5 linked regions of the Coturnix japonica genome follow. The protein of the gene in region 1 binds, or shares a complex with, the protein of each later gene. Links are inferred from orthologs where the notes say so. Each region holds a gene or a part of one and is shown in the gene's direction. Other genes may lie near its edges.

Evidence for each region.
Region 2: the proteins of ACTR2 (region 1) and ARPC4 are in contact, whole or in part, in a cryo-EM structure (PDB 6YW6), measured with the Homo sapiens proteins. The link is inferred for Coturnix japonica from reciprocal best matches to the Homo sapiens genes ACTR2 and ARPC4. Residues at the interface, in NP_005713.1 of Homo sapiens: Tyr222, Val223, Tyr225, Gln229, Glu230, Lys232, Leu233, Ala234, Leu235, Glu236, Thr237, Thr238, Val239, Lys253, Thr308, Met309, Tyr310, Pro311, Gly312, Pro314, Ser315, Asp346; in NP_005709.1 of Homo sapiens: Val29, Val30, Glu31, Arg32, His33, Lys35, Pro36, Glu39, Val40, Ala98, Glu99, Asn100, Phe102, Ile103, Leu104, Arg105, Arg106, Lys107, Leu117, Thr119.
Region 3: ACTR2 (region 1) and ARPC1B share a complex: the UniProt entries of both Homo sapiens proteins name them as parts of the arp2/3 complex. The link is inferred for Coturnix japonica from reciprocal best matches to the Homo sapiens genes ACTR2 and ARPC1B.
Region 4: ACTR2 (region 1) and ARPC3 share a complex: the UniProt entries of both Homo sapiens proteins name them as parts of the arp2/3 complex. The link is inferred for Coturnix japonica from reciprocal best matches to the Homo sapiens genes ACTR2 and ARPC3.
Region 5: ACTR2 (region 1) and ARPC2 share a complex: the UniProt entries of both Homo sapiens proteins name them as parts of the arp2/3 complex. The link is inferred for Coturnix japonica from reciprocal best matches to the Homo sapiens genes ACTR2 and ARPC2.

What each region holds. Positions count from the first base shown.
Region 1 is NC_029518.1:1,505,597-1,509,598, reverse strand, and holds part of ACTR2 (actin-related protein 2), read left to right. Parts: intron 1-2,788; coding exon 2,789-3,004; intron 3,005-4,002. UniProt on the Homo sapiens protein: ATP-binding component of the Arp2/3 complex, a multiprotein complex that mediates actin polymerization upon stimulation by nucleation-promoting factor (NPF).
Region 2 is NC_029527.1:9,003,514-9,007,502, forward strand, and holds ARPC4 (actin-related protein 2/3 complex subunit 4), read left to right. Parts: upstream 1-1,726; 5' UTR 1,727-1,859; coding exon 1,860-1,862; intron 1,863-1,989; coding exon 1,990-2,108; intron 2,109-2,260; coding exon 2,261-2,372; intron 2,373-2,445; coding exon 2,446-2,541; intron 2,542-2,651; coding exon 2,652-2,822; intron 2,823-3,053; coding exon 3,054-3,059; 3' UTR 3,060-3,269; downstream 3,270-3,989. Other genes in the region: TADA3 (transcriptional adapter 3), read right to left, coding at 1-48, 169-310, 499-604, 732-982, 1,091-1,297; tubulin monoglycylase TTLL3, read left to right, coding at 3,756-3,822, 3,926-3,989. UniProt on the Homo sapiens protein: Actin-binding component of the Arp2/3 complex, a multiprotein complex that mediates actin polymerization upon stimulation by nucleation-promoting factor (NPF).
Region 3 is NC_029529.1:4,413,382-4,417,015, forward strand, and holds the end of ARPC1B (actin-related protein 2/3 complex subunit 1B), read left to right. Parts: intron 1-298; coding exon 299-403; intron 404-718; coding exon 719-941; intron 942-1,332; coding exon 1,333-1,440; intron 1,441-1,524; coding exon 1,525-1,731; intron 1,732-2,034; coding exon 2,035-2,110; intron 2,111-2,181; coding exon 2,182-2,378; intron 2,379-2,452; coding exon 2,453-2,543; intron 2,544-2,701; coding exon 2,702-2,740; 3' UTR 2,741-2,974; downstream 2,975-3,634. UniProt on the Homo sapiens protein: Component of the Arp2/3 complex, a multiprotein complex that mediates actin polymerization upon stimulation by nucleation-promoting factor (NPF).
Region 4 is NC_029530.1:4,512,889-4,517,492, forward strand, and holds the start of ARPC3 (actin-related protein 2/3 complex subunit 3), read left to right. Parts: upstream 1-1,678; 5' UTR 1,679-1,807; coding exon 1,808-1,813; intron 1,814-2,559; coding exon 2,560-2,659; intron 2,660-3,502; coding exon 3,503-3,579; intron 3,580-3,726; coding exon 3,727-3,795; intron 3,796-4,015; coding exon 4,016-4,142; intron 4,143-4,538; coding exon 4,539-4,604. Other genes in the region: GPN3 (GPN-loop GTPase 3), read left to right, coding at 80-208, 564-626. UniProt on the Homo sapiens protein: Component of the Arp2/3 complex, a multiprotein complex that mediates actin polymerization upon stimulation by nucleation-promoting factor (NPF).
Region 5 is NC_029522.1:24,178,900-24,182,359, forward strand, and holds the end of ARPC2 (actin-related protein 2/3 complex subunit 2), read left to right. Parts: coding exon 1-40; intron 41-1,186; coding exon 1,187-1,287; intron 1,288-1,616; coding exon 1,617-1,717; intron 1,718-2,290; coding exon 2,291-2,315; 3' UTR 2,316-2,750; downstream 2,751-3,460. Other genes in the region: AAMP (angio-associated migratory cell protein), read right to left, coding at 3,144-3,219, 3,412-3,460. UniProt on the Homo sapiens protein: Actin-binding component of the Arp2/3 complex, a multiprotein complex that mediates actin polymerization upon stimulation by nucleation-promoting factor (NPF).

The sequences.
Region 1 (4,002 bases):
TACTCAGGGACCTGTTGAGCCATAGTCCATGTCTTACAGTTGTACTCAGTTTCTGCCAAAGGCGGCGTGGAGCTGATCTTCATCTGGGTTTGAGATGAGGAAGGGGGCTTTGCTTTGACCAGTCCTTGGTACTGCCTGTGCTAAAGCAGCTGCCACAAATTGCAAATACTTTTCCTCTGATGCAATTCACACCATAGGTAGACTTGCCTTAGTAGTGCTGATAGTTACCTTTATGGCTTTTGATAATTTACATGTAGGTTTAATTGGAGGAGAAAGAATCTCAGCAGTCATGAAAATGACCATAGTATAATTTCAGACAGCATTTGCATGTGTGCACTTTGTACTTCAGGTTACTTCCCAGCTGTTTTAATTCTCCTATCTTCCTACATCCATACCTTGCTATTGTGAAGAACTTTAGTTCCAAGATATCTGAACAATTAAGTCTCCTTATAGACAAATACTTTGACATTATTGCTTTGAATTCTTGAGTATTTAAGGCAGAACACTTAAAACAACCTAAACGTAGCATTAGCCAGAGCTGGCTGTAGTCAATCCTTTTCTGCAGAGTCTCATCTAGTTCAGATGAGCACATTGCTAGGGGTGAAATTCCAGTGTTACAGAACAGTTATGCACAGAACCCTACTAGAAAGGGACAGATTTTGTTTGCAACATAAGGTGCACAAACGCAACATGCCAGCAACTTGTTGCGGTAGCTTTAAATAGGGACATTTAAGCTAAAATCCCAAGGATGTGAACTTGGCCCTAACTACACTAACCTGGATATTTTTCAGCCGCGCGTGCATCTATTTGCAGCTTATTTCTACTGCGTACTTTAAATAACTGGAGAATTTCATTTAGGCTTTTTCTGACTTTCTTGCTTCTACCTTTTCTTCACCTTTTTTGACCGGTTGAAGTAGAATAACAAAAAAATGGTAAGTGAGGGTGCCTCGTGCTGCTTGTTTAGTGTTGATGCTTGGTGGGACCTAGAGCTCTTCTGCTGTTTTTTGCTATTCCTTGTTCTGTCTTGCCTTACATTTTGCCTTTGAATCCATACTTACTTTGGATGTGTTTCATTGCTTTGGTTTACTAGCAACTAATTGATGAGACTATTTTACGTATTGTGTTGAAGTATGACATAACCTGTGGTTTTGCAAGGTGCAAGAATAGCACTTGAAGACCAATGTGAGCTCAGTATCTCCAGCAGCGGAAATTACTTTACATAACGTTACAGACCAAGGGCATGAAAAAAGTTTCAATTTCCAGTTAGGCAAATATTGAGTCCCAGAGTGATGGGAACGTTGGATGTCACGACAGTGATGCTGTATGGGCTGCCTTCCTTATGAGTGTTGTTTGTTTGTGTGCCCTGGAGAACAATGAGTGCTTCTGCCCTTCAGCTTTGTTTTGTTAACAGGACGCAGAAGTTTGGTGTGACTTGATTGTGTGTTTCAGTACTGGCTTTTCCTGGGCTGCATCCTGTCCAGGAGCACAAAGCCTCCAAAGGCAGCACACAATAATACACTGCTGAGGGTTTCTGATGGCATAACCTGATGTGGAGGAGTTGTGTTATGCTTCCACTGAACTACCTTTGGTTTTAAAAAGGTAGAGCCTTGACTTCTGTCTTCTGTACAGTCTGGGTAGTGGAGGTGTGATCTATTGCACAAGGGAAAGCAAATGGAGCACTTTGTCAGGGAGGAGGAACAGATTATATGACACTGTTTTCAATAAGCTTCCTTTTTATTTTTATTGGTTGCTGGCAGCTCTTTAGGTTGCTTCTGAAATGGGCTTTGATGGACTTGATGCTGCATTTCTGTCCGTTGTTTTTTTTTTTACCCCTTGCATTGAATTGTAGGTTGAATAACCTTCTCTATAAAAGTTTTCTGCACCGTGGTAACTGCTGGCATGTTTTTGTGTGGAGCAGACAATTTTCTGCAGCGAAATGAAGGCAGCAGTAGAGTGAAAGCAGCGCTCTAGAAACATGTTCTTAGAGGCCAGGTGTGAGCAGATCAGTTAAGGCTTCCATAGGAAAATGTAAGATACAACAGGGAACAAACACAGTGTCATATTGTGCATACTTCCTCTGGGAAGTACGTGGGAAAGGAGAAGATACAGTGCTACTAATTTGAATGTGCAATGTTTGCATAACTAACTTTAAGAAACAGATTGCTTAATTAATGGGAAATGGTTGTACAAATTGCATTCGTTGGTTGTGTTTGTGTAAGAATGCATTGCCGTGGTTTTTGTCTTGGGACTTTCAGCATGGAACAGACCAGGGTATGTTTTACATTTAGATGTCTCTTCTCTTCACACCCTACTGGCATAGGCAATGTGTAAACCACAGGTACTTTTAAGGTATAGTGTGGAACTCATAAGCACTTATTTGCTGTTGCTACTGTTCTGTTTGCTAATGGACCACTCTATATTCCTTTCCTGGCATCGTGCAGCGTGCAGGGAAAATATTCTGCAGTCCACCTACCATCTTTACATGCTGTTCTGTATCTCAGCCTTCTGAAATCTGATGACAGAACTTCGGAGGTGTCAGTGGAGAAACATCTACCCTTACAAAAGCATCGTTTTGGGGAAGGTTTGGGATAGATAACAGTCCAATTTCAATATTACACGGGGTATATTCTACTTGTCTCCTAAGCTCCTAAAAACAATTCTGAAATGTGGGCATTGTTTGAAAGCACAGATAGATGTGGGTTAGCACAGCTTGCTGTCGTTGTTTGAGGATTTTGTTCTCTAGAGGACTTTGCAACAACTAACATACTTCTATGTTAACATTTTACAGGATCTCATGGTTGGAGACGAAGCAAGTGAATTACGTTCAATGCTGGAGGTTAATTATCCAATGGAGAATGGCATCGTTCGGAACTGGGATGATATGAAGCACCTCTGGGATTACACATTTGGACCAGAGAAACTTAACATTGACACAAAAAATTGTAAAATACTGCTTACAGAACCTCCCATGAACCCAACTAAAAACAGAGAGAAGATCGTGGAGGTACGTCCCTCTAGTAGGAGTTAAGATGTGCTGTTGTTCAAGTATGGATAAAAAGCTTGGATTTTCTTGGAATACCCAGAAGCTGCCTGAGGGAAGGCAGTTCTCCTGTCTTCTGAGCCAAATGTGCCATCAGCCATGGTTATAAAGGTTGCTGTGGTCAAATTCAAACAGTCCCTCTTATCCAAACGTTAGAAGCAGACTGGGTGTCTCAAGCCATTTCACCAACAAAACGGGGTTAGAAATGCACATTTTTCTTCAGGTATCTAAGATACTTTGATTACTAGATATTGGGTGATTGTTAATTAATTTAAATGACTTGAACTTCTGCAAGGCAGTAACATTTTGGAAGAGGCTGATGCTTGGACAAGCTGATGCTGACCAGATGGAGCAGCGTTGTTGGAAGTAGCTGAGACAAAGGTGTGATGACAACCAATTCATTGATCTTTGCTTAACACCCCCAGGGATTGTCAGTGAAAGCCTTCTTAGAAGGAAAGCTGGGTTCTTGGATCCTGTGCTGTCCAGGACAACCTAAGCTACCTCTGAATTCAGTTGGTTGGAGGAATAAGAACTTAATTTTATCTTGACCTACTAACTTTCCTTTAAAAACCATTAGTTGTCACAGCTATAGTAATACTTTCTGCTATGTGACCGTGGGTGTTTTTGCAGTAGTCTTTTATTTCAGTGTCCTGCTAAATAAATCTGAGGCAGAAAAACTCAAGGATTAATCAAACTGTACAATTTTGTTGTGTTTTTAAATTGAAAGTTTTCTAGCATGTATAGACATTAGTGGCCCGTTATCTAAGCGCTGTGTAACTGGACATTAGCAATGCTGTCTGCTGTGTATCAGGCAGCTGTGGTGTGATGAACGTAGTGGCCTATTCTGGGTTGCTTCCATATAGTAGGAATGGCTGAGTTTCCTGCTGAGGCTGCATTGCTTTCCAGCTGTCTACAATGGTGCACTCGTTTCTGTTTTCCTGCTAAGTGCACCAGGCTGGGTT
Region 2 (3,989 bases), on another chromosome or scaffold:
CAGGCTGCTCGTGCTGGGCCTCTGACTTCTTCAGCAAGGCGTCGACATCTGAGGGGATGCAGGAGACAGTTGTGAGCAGCCCCGGTTCTGTGGGAGCTGGATGCCAGCCCCCTGGTCTCACCACACAGCTTCAGTGCAGTCCATCACAGATAGGGGATGGGACAGCACCTTTGGTGTCCAGCTCGGTCAGTGGTCCCAGAACACCCTTCTTTTTGTCAGCCGCAGCCGCTGCCCGGGCTCCATCCTTCTGCTCCTCCAGCAGGTCCTCCTGAGCCCAGCGCTGTGAGTAGTGCTTCCCCAGCGGTGGGATCTGCAGCACAGGATGGGCCATCAGCACAGGGCTGGGGTTGTGCTGAGGAGCCCGTGGGTCAGCACCACCCCAGAGGACACGCACAATGTTCACAGTGGGGTGTGAGTTCTTAGCCTGCCCAGGGATGGACAGTGCAGGGCAGAGTATGGGGTGAGAGAGCATGGGCTGGGGGCTCTGCAGCTTGTCACCTTGTAGTGCTCAGCCTCGTCCTCTGGCGGTTTGAGCAGCTCCTCCAGGACCCTGACCTCCTCATTGGTGAGATCGGCGCAGTACGGCTCCACTGATGCCCAGAACCTGCGAGGCCAGAGCAGAGGAATGATGGTGATGGGGAGCTGTGATGGACACTTTGAGAGCAGCTCGTGATCTCCTGCACTACAAGGAAGGAAACATCCAACCCCAACACCCCCATCTCCCCATTCACCTGTTCGGAGCATCGTTTTTAGGGATCCTCGGCACATCGATGGGGTCATCCTGGAACTCGTACTCCTGGATCTTGGGCTGCAGGTTTTTAGACTTAGGCCTGCCGGGCCCAGGCCCCGTCCCGTGCCCCCCTTTACCCTCCAGCTTCTGCTTCTTGGGCTTGCCGTGTTTGACGGAGGTGCCCACGTCGTGTTCCTTGCTCAGCTTCAGGAAGCGCCGGTCGCCCTTTTTGTCCTGCCAGTCCGTCAGGATCTGGAATAGAGGAATAACGTGTAGGGTCGTGTGTGGGGCGGTGATGGGGTGGGGGGTCACAACACGGACACGTTACACGTTACACGTTCCATGTTCCACATCCCACACCTGTGTCTCTGCCTCCAGTACCCGCAGTCTGCGGCTGGCTGAGGACAGCAGCGTCTCCAGCTCGAGCTGCAGCGTGTCCAGCTCCTCGATCCCGATACCATCGTCCTCGGACCGGGCCAGCACGGCCGTGTACCGCGGGCACACCTTCACGTGGTCCACAGACTTGAAGTCGTGGAACTGCAGCGGGCAGTCCTTCAGCTCGCTCATGGCGGCACCGGGTCGGAACCGGGCGGCGATAGAAGCCTGTTGTCCGGTCTCTCGGTGCCGCCCGGAGCTCGGCGGGTCCCGGCGGGGGGCGGGCAGGGGGCAGGGCCGGGGGGGGCCGGGTTTACATTGGGCCGCTCGGCTACTTCCGGCCCCCGCCGCTTCGCCCCGCCCCTCTCTCCCCATTGGCTCGGCCCCGCCCGGTGCACGCAGCCGATTGGTTCGCTCGTCTCTCCTTCTTCCTTTCCTAATATGGAAGCGCCGTACGGAGCGTACCAAGAGCGGCGGGATCGCGGGGGGGGTCGAATCTCGCGGGGTTTCGCCGCCGCCTCCAGGCGCTGCAGCCGCGCCCCGTGACCGGCCGGATATACACACAGATACACATATATACACATATATACATATACACGGTGTGGGGGGACGGGACGGAACGGGGAACGGAACGGGAACGGAGAGAGAACAGAGCGCCCCCACACAGCTGCGGGTTGGGCCCTCCCGAGCATCCAGGAAGAGACAGCCGGCCACTTCCGGTTCCGCTTCCACGGACCGGACCGGAGCCGACACCATGGTGGGAGCGGGAGGGAACGGGGCGGGAGAACGGGGCGGGGGATGGGGGTGGATGTGGGTACGGGGATAGGGGGGGACGGGGCTGGGGTGGGCCCGGTCCCGGTCCGTGACTGTGCCGTGCCCCTCAGACCGCCACGCTCCGCCCGTACCTGAACGCGGTGCGCGCCACGCTGCAGGCCGCGCTGTGCCTCGAGAACTTCTCGTCGCAGGTGGTGGAACGGCACAACAAGCCCGAGGTGGAGGTCAGGTACGGGGCTGTAATGTGTGTCAATGGGGATGGACACGGACACTGCCCGCACTGTGTGTCAATGGGGATAGACACACGGACACACGGACACTGCCCGCACTGTGCCTGCAGGCACCGAGCGGTTCCATGCTGACCTTCCTTTGCTCCCCCAGGAGCAGCAAGGAGCTGCTGCTGCAGCCCGTGATCATCAGCAGGAACGAGAAGGAGAAGGTGCTGATCGAGGGCTCCATCAACTCCGTGCGCGTCAGCATCGCTGTCAAACAGGTGGGGATGGGCTGGATGGGGGCTGGGAGCTTGTGAGAGTGTGAGGAACCTCGTTTCCCTTTTGTGTCTGCAGGCCGATGAGATCGAGAAGATCCTGTGCCATAAGTTCATGCGCTTCATGATGATGAGGGCTGAGAACTTCTTCATCCTACGCAGGAAGCCCGTAGAGGTGAGGGAGTCCCAGGGACCCACAGCGCAGATCTGGACTGCACCATCACTGTGCTGCACTCCCACTGTGCTGCACACCCATAGCTCTTACACTGCTCCTCTCTTCCTCAGGGCTACGACATCAGCTTCCTCATCACCAACTTCCACACGGAGCAGATGTACAAGCACAAGCTCGTGGATTTCGTGATCCATTTCATGGAGGAGATCGACAAGGAGATCAGCGAGATGAAGCTGTCTGTCAATGCCAGGGCCCGCATTGTGGCAGAGGAATTCCTCAAGAACGTAAGGCTCCGGGGATGCTCCTGCTCCCAGCAGTGGGGCACAGCTCTCATAGGCACAACCCACTGCTGGGGGCTGCTTTGGTGCAGTTTGTGCCCATCCTGGGTTGGCTGTAATTGGTGCTCATGTTTCCACTGGGGTTGAGGTCCTCTAAGTGGGCTGAGGGTGGGCACAGCTGGGGGATGTAGGACATCCCAGTGCTGATGGGCTCCTCCCCTCTGTCTTGCCTTGCAGTTCTAGGCTGTGCCGTGACTCCGTGGCTTCCCGGTGCCTGTGCAGAGCCGCATGCCGGGGTTCTCGTGCTATGGAGGAGGGAAGCTGAGCCCCTGGCTGCGATCCCGTCTCCTCGCTGGCCGGGGCGGGGGCGGACCGGGCTTGTGCGTGTGTGGGGCTGGGCGGCCCCGCTCCCTGTCCTGTCGCATTGTGTTTTATAAAGAGTTACTTGCTGTACGCCCCGGCTCCTCGCTGCGTTGCTGTGGGGGGAGGAAAGGGGGAGAGAATGGAGGGAATGCTCGGGGGCGGGGCTATGGGGCAGGGGGGGGCGGGGCCCGGAGCAGCACCATGACAACAGTAAACAGCGGGGGCAGCCCCGCCGGTACTGGAAGGAGTGGGAGTGGCTCGGGTGGGTGCGGGGGAGGATGGGGTTACAGAGCGGCCTGGGGGAAGGGTTTGGGGTGACAGATGATGGGGAACCAGCTGGTGTGGAGCCATAGGAGAGGGGGCAGGGCTTAGGGCTGCTGGAACCCCCCCGCATCTCCCATTGGGTGAGGATGCAGCTCAATGGGATCCCCTGTACTGCATGGAGTGGGGCTGAGCTGCTAGCAGCCTCCCTCACCCCCAGGCTGCCCCACACCTCACCCACTCGAGAGCAGGGCCGTGGGCACAGCCCAGTGAGGGGAGTTCCTGGTGGGCACGCTGTGAGGCTGCGGTGCCAACATGAGCATTGAGAAGGAGGCAAATGCTGCAGGAGGGGCACCCAGCAAGGTGCAGCGTGTGTGGGCAGGTGGGTGCCTGCTCCCTGCCCCTCGGAGACAAGGAACATGAGGGTATACGTGTCCCGATGGGGCTCAGCTGGGGCTGTCCCACGGCTCTCTGGATTCTTGCAGACTGCAGCCGCCCCTGGCTCTGCCCAGAGAAGCTGAAGCTGGCCAAGATGCAGGTGGAGAAGGC
Region 3 (3,634 bases), on another chromosome or scaffold:
GGGGCTGCAGTGCAGGCCAGGATGAGGCCAGCGGGCACCAAACACCCACAGCCATCCCAGCCCATCCCTCCCAGCAGAGCCCTGGGACTGGGGCACAGCAGAAGTTGAGCTGTGGGGTTTGGGGGAGGTGTTCCCTTTTCCCCCAGCACAGTTTGACACCAGAGCCCAGTGCTGGGGCAGGACCCTACTGTGCCTTCAGGGCTCTGGGCACGGGAAGGGCTGTGCTGGTGACAGGGATGCATCAAACCTGGGCTGACCCTGCGAGCGTGGGGCCGTCAGAACTGCTTTCACCCCACAGAGATCGCGCTGTGCCCCAATAACCACGAGGTGCACATCTACCGCAAGGACGGGGCCAAGTGGAGCAAGGTGCACGAGCTGAAGGAGCACAACGGGCAGGTGACAGGTGAGTGCATGGGGATGGACGAGCTCTGAGGTCAGTCCCAACCCCACTCAGTGACACTGGTGGCCTTGGGACAGGGGTTGTGAAGGAGAGGAAGGGCTGTGTCTGGTGTTCCTGGTCCCAATTCAGTGTGTCAGGAGGCACCCGGGGATGGGATGATAACATTGTAGAAGGGTTGGGATTAAATTGACTGGGGGAATATAGCAGAGAAGGACTCAGGGGCAGAGAGCAGCCACATCCCCACCTCCAGATGGCCCCCTCATGCCCTGTCCCCATCCACACGGCTCCCCCCACATCACTGCCCCCCCCACCTTCCAGGCATTGACTGGGCTCCTGAGAGCAACCGGCTGGTGACATGTGGGACCGACCGCAATGCCTACGTCTGGACCCTGAAGGGCAACGTCTGGAAACCCACCTTGGTCATCCTGAGGATCAACCGGGCTGCCCGCTGTGTGAAGTGGTCCCCCAAGGAGAACAAGTTTGCTGTGGGCAGCGGCTCCCGGCTCATCTCCATCTGCTACTTTGAGCAGGAGAATGACTGGTGAGTGGCATTGAGGTCACCATCCTGCATTGGGTGGGGATGGATGGAGGGGAAGGGGTCGTATGTGTGGGGAAATGAGGGTGTATGTGTGGGGAAATGAGTGTAGGGGAGATGGGTGGATGGGGAGGTGGGGGAGAGGGATGAGAGGTGAGATAGGGGAGTCATTGAGGAGACGGAGGAGGAGGCAGAGGAGGAGCCTGATGGAGAGGTGGACATAAGTGCTGCAGGACCTAAGAGCTGGGGACACAGCACTGTCCCCATGGCCCAGCTGCTGACACAGGCTGGGAGCCAAGGGCAGTTCCTGGGGGCCCCAATCACCCCCAGACTGTGGTGTGAGAGCCATGGACTGTACCCGGGGGCTTTAGGGGCACCAACGCCGCTCTCCCTGCAGGTGGGTGTGCAAACACATCAAGAAGCCCATCCGCTCCACAGTGCTCAGCCTGGACTGGCATCCCAACAACGTGCTGCTGGCTGCCGGCTCCTGCGACTTCAAGTGCCGGTGAGTGGAAAAGGGGGGACCCCAGGGGGCTCTATGGGGTGAGCAGGGATGGAGCTTGTTCCACGGCGATCTTCTCCTTCCCAGGATCTTCTCAGCCTACATCAAGGAGGTGGAGGAGCGGCCCAGCCCCACGCCCTGGGGCTCCAAGATGCCGTTTGGGGAGCTGATGTTTGAGTCGAGCAGCAGCTGTGGGTGGGTGCACAGCATCTGCTTCTCAGCCAGCGGCAACCGAGTGGCCTGGGTGAGCCACGACAGCACCCTGTGCCTCGCTGATGCCAACAAGAAGATGGCGTAAGCAGGGCTGGGGCTGCAGGGGGATCTGGGGGAGTTTTTGGATGGGATGGGCTACGCAGTGATTTGTGGCTGCCCACGCTGGGGAAGGCAGCTGCTTTTCTGTGGGCTGGATGGTCCCCAAAATGATGCAGGGGTGGAGCTGGGATGGAGCTGGGGTGGGGGTGAAGGGCTGAGTGGAGCCGGGTGCAGGAGGAGGCACAGCCTCTCCTTGCAGCATCACAGCCCCACTCCCACGTCATGAGCTGTGCTGTGCTCAGCATGGTCTCAACTCACTGCTCACACTTTCTCCCTCCCTTTCAGTGTTGCCTCCCTATGCACTGAAACCCTTCCCCTCCTGGCCGTCACCTTCATCACTGAGAGCAGCCTGGTGGCCGCGGTGAGTTGGGCTGGGCTGAGGGCGGGCAGAGCACGAGGTGATTCTGAGCAGGACCACCACTTCATCCCCAGGGCCACGACTGCTACCCCATGCTGTTCACCTACGAGGAGGGCTCGGGCACGCTGAGCTTTGGAGGGAAGCTGGATGTCCCCAAGCAGAGCTCCCAGCGTGGCCTCACTGCCCGCGAGCGCTTCCAGAACCTGGATAAGAAGGCGAGCTCTGATACAGCCAACGCTGCGCTGGATACAGTGCACAAGAACAGCATCAGGTGCTGATGGGGCATCCGTGAGAGGGGGGAGGGTCCGGGGCTGCAGTCTGACCTCCCTCCCCTGCGCTCCACAGTCAGATCTCTGTGCTGGTTGGGGGCAAAGCCAACTGCTCGCAGTTCTGCACCACGGGGATGGACGGTGGCATGAGCATCTGGGACATCAAGGTGAGGCCCCTCCCGAGCCCCCCAACCACATCAGTCCCTCCTTAGCCCCAGCTCAGTGTAATCAATGTCCCCATTGATTACAGTCTGGGGTCTGCACAGCTCCACTCACCTTAGGAAGTAAAAAAATAAGGCAGTTGTTGAACAACTTCTTGTTTCAGAGCCTGGAGTCGGCACTGAAGGATCTCAAAATCAAATGAAGGATGCAGCCAGGAGGTCCCAGCCGCAGCTGCCCCGCTCTGCTGCTGCACTGCTGCACTCCCTCTGCCCCGCGCTCCCGGCTGCCAGCCAGCCCTGGGCTGCTCTAACACAGAGATAAAGGTGGTTGTTGGTTGGGTTGTTTTTTTAATACTATTTTTGTTACCATCCTAACCGATGCTGGTCATACATCGCTTTATGAATTCAATAATAAAGATTTTCCCATATAAATCCAATGTTTTTTTCTTCTTTTCTTTTAAAGCATTTTAATGTGAGTACATGTGATTACAGCATGCTGCAGGGTTTAATTGCATGTGCTCAGGTTAACACGGCTCCTGGCAGCCCCTCCATGCAGTGCAGCCCCTACACTCACAGCCCCAGGACGGATCCTTGCTGGCAGCACTGGGATGGAGATGTTTGAGTCACTCCATGATTCCGAGCTCTGGTCCATCCTCCCACAATGGAGCTGTGTTCTACTGGGCAAAGACCTCTATGTGTCACCCACCCCAGTGCACCTGAACCAGCCCCTTTCTCCCTCCCCTCCTCCTGTAGGCCCCAGCCACCTCCCTTTGCTCCCAAGGCTCACCCCAAGTTTCCACCTGATCCTCTGACACCACCTCAATTCTCGATAAGGCTGAGAACTGCTGGTGCCCCACAACCACAATGTACCAGATTAAAGCATCTTCTGCCAGCTCCACGCTGTGGCACAGCCCAGGGATGGCCTAACACACTGACTGAGCCCAACAGCAGCCTGAAGGTAATTGTTTCCTCCTCTCCACTAACCAGATGGTGCAAGACGTCCATCAGAGAAGAGCAGGAAAAGCTTCTTGCCTTCGGGCTGCAGCTGCTGATAGGGCTCCCAAACCCTGAGCCAAACTCAACATCGTGAACAGCAG
Region 4 (4,604 bases), on another chromosome or scaffold:
CCAGACTGCTGAGCAGCAATGATGCGATGAGAAAATGTAGTGTATTTCCCTACTGATGTCTTTTGAATCCTTGCTGTAGATTGATGACTATGGTATGGTTCGATTTCTACCTTTTGATCGCTCCGATGAGGAAAGTATAAACATAGTTCTGCAGCACATAGACACTACCATCCAGTATGGAGAAGATCTTGAATTCAAAGAACCGAAGGTAAGATATTTCTGAAGATAAGATGAAAAATTAGAAAGGATCCACAATAGAAATCATAATATAATCATGTTATTTCAATGTTAAAGGTTGGAAAAGATGATTGTATGCCACTAAGATCTTCTTAAAAATTCAGTTTCCTACTCTCAGGATATGCAAAATAACCACACCTGGATTTTGATGTATACATATGGGAGAGCTTTAGAAACAAACTGCTGTTCAGGAAGTTTTGCTACTTGTTTTATAGAACTGCACTGGACATTGTTGTGCTTATTAAAATAAAGCATTGCAGAACTGACAGCATCCAACAGTCACTAGAGAAAAGTCAGGTATTACGTTTTCTGTTTTCTTGTTGCAGGAATATGAAGAAGATAAATCTGCACTCGTGGATGAGTATTTTCAAGATCACGTGAATGAGTAAAAAGCAGATGCTGGAAAAGAGGAAGAAAATGCATCGCTTGTGTGTTTTAAAGAAAGCAAAAACCATCCACCTCCACACAAACATATTTATGTGATGTTTTGCCTTTAAGATAACTAACATCGCTAGTGAGAAGTGAGCTATATGACGGTGTATACGACAGAATATAGTGAGCTGTATTACTGTTAATAGTTCTTTTGTAAATACAGAATGTTCCTGGACTCTCGAACGTTCTCAAAATATCTTTTATTATTATTTCTCCTAAAATATATTAATCCAATTTATTAGCTAATTTCAGCTGAATTGGAGGATGCTTTTCTTCTAGTCATATCCAAGTATTTATAAACCTTTCCTTGATCCTAAGGAACGAGTTTTATTAATGATTATTGAATAAAAGTGTTTTCTAAAAAGGGCCTTGTGGTGACGTAAAGCTTAATATCAGTAAATGCTCATATATAGGCGTGTCATCTTTTTCTATGTATTATATAGTTCCCAGGATTTGAGCCTATGTGTAGAAGAGCAGCACTTCTACCACTTGCGCCACAGGGGGGATTCAAACCCAGTAGAATAAGAGCATCTAATGTCATTTTGTTGGAGCGGCTTGGTAAACCAAACCAATGATTGAATACTTTGAGGCAGTGGCAGTTATCTAAACCTGAGGATATGACACAGCTACTCCCAGCCCTGGACAGTTAGGTGAGAGTTCAGGGTAGTCATTGCCATAACCAGAAAGAGGTTAGAATTAGAGAACACAGCTTTTGGGGACGCAGCTTTTTAAGGACTCCTTGCAGCCGCCTTTTCCTCCAGGCTGAACAGCCCATCTCCCTCAGCCCATCCTCACAGCAGAGGTGCCCTTTGCTCACGGAAAGGAGAAACCCAGCCCTTCAGCTTCAAATCTCCCCATTTTTTCGGCCTGACTCAAGTGACGAGGAGGTGGAGGGGGGGCAAAAGGGGGGCAAATGGGGCACTCTGCCTCACAAGGACAACAGTTCCCTCAGACCCAGCGCGTAATGGGGGGGGGTCAGTTCTGTGCTTCCCCATCAGGGAGCGGCTCCTCGGGGCGGTACGGGCTGTGGCTTCCCCCTGTCGCACCGCCCCGCTGCCTCATTTCCTGAAGGAAGAGGAAGATTTGCTACGAGCTCAGCGCCGCTGCCGTCGCACCGAGCTGCGCCCTGCCCTTCGCCATGCCGGTGAGCGGAGCGGGGCAGGGGGAGGGAAGGGGCAGGGCGGGCGCTGAGCGCCAGGGACGGACTGGGGGCGGATGAAAGGGGGGCTGTAGCCGGGAGCCTCGCACTGATGAGCGGATCGGTGTGGAGGGACCTGCCGCCTTCCTCTTTTCTTCCCCTTTTTTTTTTATCCCGTTCTGACCTCACAGAGTCAGCCCCCCCCCCCCCCCCGTGGCACCCAGCCGGGCGGCAGGAGTGCATCTGGGGGAACCGCACCACAAGGCCACACCAGAAAGTAGCACATCCCAGTGCTTCTTATTCACTTACATCAGTTTTAATGCACAGAAAGGCCTTTTGTGTGTGTATGTGATAAGCCTGGTTTTGGTTATTATTTAGATACTGACAGGCTGCTCTCAGCTCTCCCCACAGCCCTCTCCAGGCTGCACAGCCCCATCTCTCTCAGCCTGTGCTCTTCCACCACCACTGACAAATGGTTCCAATAAATGCTTTTGTGCTCATCGCTGGAATGGTGCTGAGTTGCAGAAGGCCTAAGTAAGAAATGACCATTGTTTGTGCAAGGAAAGGTTCCTGGAAGCACCACAGAATCACAGAATTATCAAGGTTGGAAAAGACCTAGAAGATCATCCAGTCCAACCATCACCAATACTTCCCAGTTAAATCATATCCCTAACAAACCAAACTCTGTTTTAACAGGATAAAGGAAGGGCAATATTCTGCAGGAATAATAAGCAGTCTTCCCTTGTCTCTAGGCTTACCATTCAACTTTAATGGACTCGGATACCAAGCTAGTGGGGAACATGGCACTGTTACCCATCAGAAGCCAGTTCAAAGGCCCAGCACCTCGAGAAAGTAAGTTTATAAGAATATAAGTGGTGCCAACTAGAAAAAATGATGATCCCATGGCTGTTATCTGGCACGGCTCTGGGTAATTCAGCTGCTTTAGCAATTAACACTGCCTACAGATAGTATTTTCACACTTCCTCCTGTGCCTCTTTTCAGCAGGCTGTGAGGATGTGGTGCTATTAACCCTTTGCTGTCAGAGGAAGTGGAGGTTTAGCTGCAGAACTCAGCTTTGGTGCAATAGCTGAGGATGCTTAACTGTGGCAATTCGGTTTGAAAAAGGAAATATTTCAGAATTCAAGCATGTTTGTAAAAGAAAGTGAAAGCTGCAGGTCAACCTGCCACTATGTAATCTACCCTTCCTCTTCTTTTTTTCAGGAGAATAATGAGGAAGGTTGTTTGATTGTGGTGTTAATTTCTCCCAAATATATTTTTGGGCCCTCAGAAAGAGTTTTAACAGTATATTCTATATACTGTTGCATATATATTATATTCTATACTGTTATACATATTAATATACATATATTAATATGTTCTATACTGTTAAAACTCTGGTGAGTCACTCAACTGGTAGGATATACCAAAGAACTGCCAACCTGCTGCCCTTTGTGAAGTCATGGGAAAAGAAGGGAGTTAAAAGTCCTACTAAGAGTAAGAAACTTAAATGGTTTGGTCAGAGATCACCAGTCTTTCACACGGGTAAAATTTACCATAGTCCTCTGCTTCTTGTAAATGATTTTGCTTTTGCAAGAAACACTGTTTGTGTACTTCAACATGTAAAAGTTATGACCAAATGTGTAGCAATGCACTGCTTAATTTTGGTTTTCTTTCATTTTCTTTCTTTTGCTTTAGCTAAAGATACAGATATTATAGATGAAGCCATCTACTACTTCAAAGCCAACGTTTTCTTCAAAAATTATGAAATTAAGGTATTTTTTTTCTGCAATAATTCCTTTCCTATGAGGAAATTGCTGGCACAAATGCCATGAACTCGTTCCTATTTCAAACTGTTAGCAGTTCCATGAAGTCCCTTGTAGTCTAACAGACCGGGCTCTGTGCTTACTCTTGTTTTGCAGAACGAGGCTGACAGAACACTGATCTACGTAACTCTCTACATTTCTGAGTGCTTGAAAAAGCTGCAAAAGGTAAGGAGGGAAACAGTCTGTTCTGGGGATTATACTCAGGAGAGTATTTGCTGGTATTCATCTCCTAAAGGCACAGCAGACTCTGTTCACTGCAACCCCAGTTTACAGAACCACAAAACAAATACTTGAGGCTGTGGTTTTGCAGGGACACTGCACTGCTGTTCTTGATAAGTCTTAATGGTTTAGGGATTGTAATCAATTGTTTGGTTGGTTCTTTCAGTGCAACTCTAAAGGCCAAGGAGAGAAAGAGATGTACACGCTAGGAATCACTAATTTCCCAATCCCTGGGGAACCTGGCTTTCCACTTAATGCCATTTATGCCAAACCTACCAACAAGCAAGAGGAAGGTAAGACTTAACAAAGACCCCTAAAGACTTGCTTTGGTCCAAGCTTTACCAGCTGTGTTTTTGCAGTTACAACTAGAAAACTTCTAGCTCTGTTTTCTGAGGTCTTCTGATCTTATAACTGCTAGATAGATTCTGTAACAGAGCTCAAGCTAACTCCTACACTGGCAGAGAGGAAACCCATAATGATGGGCAAAGGCTTAGCTGAAAGAAGAAAACAATTGAGATATGTTTTACTCATACAAATATAACAAATCCAAGTATGGCTGTAAAATGAACAGCCAGCAAGGGCCTACAGATGTGAGAGCTCACATTTCTTGCTGTAGGCAGTGATGTCCGCTGCCTTCACACTCAGTTTAGTTTGCCTTAATGCTACTTTGTCCTTGTGCTGTATTTCAGAGGTGATGAGAGCATACTTGCAGCAGCTCAGGCAAGAAACTGGCCTTCGACTTTGTGAAAAAGTAT
Region 5 (3,460 bases), on another chromosome or scaffold:
GACGCAGCCATTGGCGACAATATTGGCTACATCACCTTTGGTAAGCAGGCAGTTCTGTGGCATGGGGATGCTCAGGATAGAGAGAGGTTCTTGCTGCTGCGTGTTAGTTCACCTTCCCTGAGCGTTCATGGGAGTTATTGGGCCCAAAGGAAGTTGCATTCCCCAATGGTCAGCATCTCTGCTGCATCAAGTCACCTCAGCTCTGCTCTGGGCAGCAGGGGAATAGATAGTAAGCCATGTGAGATCAGCCTATAAATTGGGTTCAGCACTTGGGAGTAAGAGACGTTTGGCTTTGTTGTGATACTGCAGGTACTACAGGCTTCTTTCTCATAGGCATGTGATCTGTAACTGTAGATGCCTGGGCTGCAAGCTGTGCTTCTCCTGCTCTGCCCCTCTGTTTTAAGTCTAATACATCTATCTCTGATGAAGTACCTTCACCTGCCTGCAAAGGTGCTGCTTTGCTGGCTAGCAGTCATTTCCTCCTGGGCAGTAGCACTGATGACTGACCTGAGGAGTCCAAACCCTGCCCCTGTTCAAAGGGAGCGATCTCTTACAGAGAAACTGGGATCGTGGTTGAATATGCCGTTAGGATCTCCCAGGCCAGCATGCCTGCACGTTGGAGCTCAGAGACAAAGCACAGACATACAGACACTGCAGAGGAAAGCAAAGCCTGAGCTGCTCTACTCCCACGCTGGGAATGGTGCCCTGGGTTCAGGCACTTAATCAGTCATGGCAGGGCTGCCTAGTGGCAATTCTTGGACTGCTAGCAAGACTTCCTCCTTGTCTGGAGGCAGGCTCTCTGTTATCTGATCTGACAGTCCCAGGTGAGATCATCACTGAGACAAAAGGTCTTTCAGCCCTTGGATCTGGGACACTTAGCACAGCACCAGACTGAAGTAACGTGTGGATGTCGTCATCTCTGAGCACTTGGCCTTGTCTGTGTCCTCCAGCTGCATCCAGGCTGCTACAAGAGACATGAGCGTGTGACTGTGGGTGGGAAAGTGCTGCTAAGCCTCATGTTTAAAATCGCCAGAGCTGCTTAATCCCAATACGTGTCTCAATATTGGGCACAGCAAACAGGCATTCAGAGCAGCATGCCCTATAGCCTGTAGCACCAGAGCACCCTGAAGGGCCCGTTCATAGCTTCAGGAAGCAATAACAGTTTATGTGGCCTCTTTCCTTTCAGTGCTGTTCCCCCGTCACACCAATGCTGCTGCCAGAGACAACACCATAAACCTGATCCACACATTCCGAGACTACCTGCACTATCACATCAAGTGCTCAAAGGTACCACCATGGGGATATGGCTGGGGAAAATGGGAGGCTTGGCCCATCTCATCTGGGGGGACTAAGAGGGAGAAGCATGGAGTAGGAGTACCCTCGTTCCCCCACCCTGGGAGCTGATTAGTGCATAGCACTGCCCTGCACAATAGTGCTAGGTTGGCAAATGGTGCGTCATCGCCTTCTTCCTGTTCCTTGGTACAAGCAGTGCCTGTTCGCCTCCCATCCTAGCAGCAAAGTAGGATTTTTTTTTCCCCCTTTTCAATCTGTGGTTTCCTTTCTGGGTCTTAGCTGTGAGTACGGGATCCTGAAGCGGCCCCGTTTTGTTCCTGCAGGCCTATATTCACACACGTATGAGGGCAAAAACATCAGATTTCCTCAAGGTGCTGAACCGTGCCCGTCCAGATGCAGAGAAGAAAGAAATGAAAACAATCACGTGAGTAGCAAAGCAAAACCTTGTTAATCAGGCTTCCCTGCCTGCAATCAGCGCACTTCTTCACAGCTCAGCATCTCTGCTCCTAGGTTTGGGATAGTATGGGATGGCCATTTTGGGACCTGATGTCCGGTACTTGCAGAGCATCTTCCTGCTGTGAGCGTGGCCTGGCTTTCCCCAGATCCTGTGGCCAATAGCTCACTCAGGCTGTGAGCATTCCTGGCAACTGACTCCCTTTGGCAAATAAAGCAGCCCAGAGCAATGCACACCAATGACGGTGGTTGTGTAGCATGTTTCCATCATGACACTGGCCTCTTGATCCCAGAGCTCCTTTGCATCCTGCTATTTCCTCTTTGCTTTCTGCTCTGGGGTGTTGGGGTTGTACCCTCTGTGAAAACCAGCCCCTCCCCATAGCAGTGTGGTCCAGTTGCTTGCTGCAAGCAATGCCTGTGAGCTCTGAACCAGCAGTACCAGTATATCTTTGAGAGCTCAATGCAAGCACGTGCCCACAAGTCACCTTGGGGCAACCCAAGGCAGCTCTGAAGGCCGCACTGACCTCTCTCTGCATCCTTTCAGGGGGAAGACATTCACGACCCGTTAACGCTGGGGGTCACTGAGGCTACTGTGGAGGACGAAGGTTGGGGCACTTGCTACCCGATAATCGTAGCTTTTAATGTTGCACCTCTGTGGGCTCATAAGGAATTCAAGCAATCGGGGTCTGTTTGTACGACAGTTTGGGAAGTAATCTGCAGAAACGAGCTGTGCTTGCGAGGACTCGATCGTTCCAAGAAACAAACCTTAATTCCAGTTTGATTGACTTCATTTCTTTTCTTTTTCTTTTTTTTTTTTTAATTTTGGTTTTTTTTTCTTTTCGAGCTGTTTCGCTTTGCAATATGTTACCGGAAATAAGTTGCAGTATTTCTTATGAGAATAATGCAATATTAACTTGTTTTCTTCTGAGTATTTGAGTTCAAAACTCCTGTATCTGAAGAAATACTGTTGGGGTTCATTAATAAAGGAGATCTTTCTATCTTAAGGAACCTGTAGGGTTTTGGTTTGTCAATGCACATGGCCTTGCCAAGGAAAGGGGCTGACTGGAGTCAGCCAGGCTGAGAGGCAGCGTTGTGGTGTAGGAAGAACAGCCCCTATAGCTAATGCCTAAAATCCCTTGGTGGGACAGAGCACATCTCATAAGGTCACCCTTCCCCCAGCAAACAGAGTGGATGGGATCCAGGTTAAGTGAAATAATTTATATATAAGACATTTTCATACAAAACCCCAGACTCGGCCCTCAGTTTGTGAGGGCGAAGTAGGGCAGGCTGAAAAATTACAAAGCACGTGCTGGAGAAGGGGGGTGAAACCCATCTCCCCTGTCCCGCTGTACATGAGCAGCATGGCAGAGCCAGGCCGCCATCCCTCAGCACTGCCGCTAGCGGTCAGGGCGCTGCACGCAGAACACTTTGGCTTGGTGGTCTCCGGAGGTCGTCACCACAATGGAGGCATCCCTGGAGGAGAGAGATAGGGCTCAGCAGCCAAACTGGTGGCCTTGGACAGCTCTAGCTGTGAACACCCGTACTCCATCCCCTGAGACCCTTCAATGTGAGCATCCGTGTTTGCAGATGATACACTCCAAGGCTCAGGCGTTTCCTGCACCCAGCAGCCTCAGGGAAGGGTTGGTCCGGGGGGTCCCTACTCACTTGTTGACAGCAAAGTCGAGGATTTCAGCAGAGTGCCCTCGATACTCGC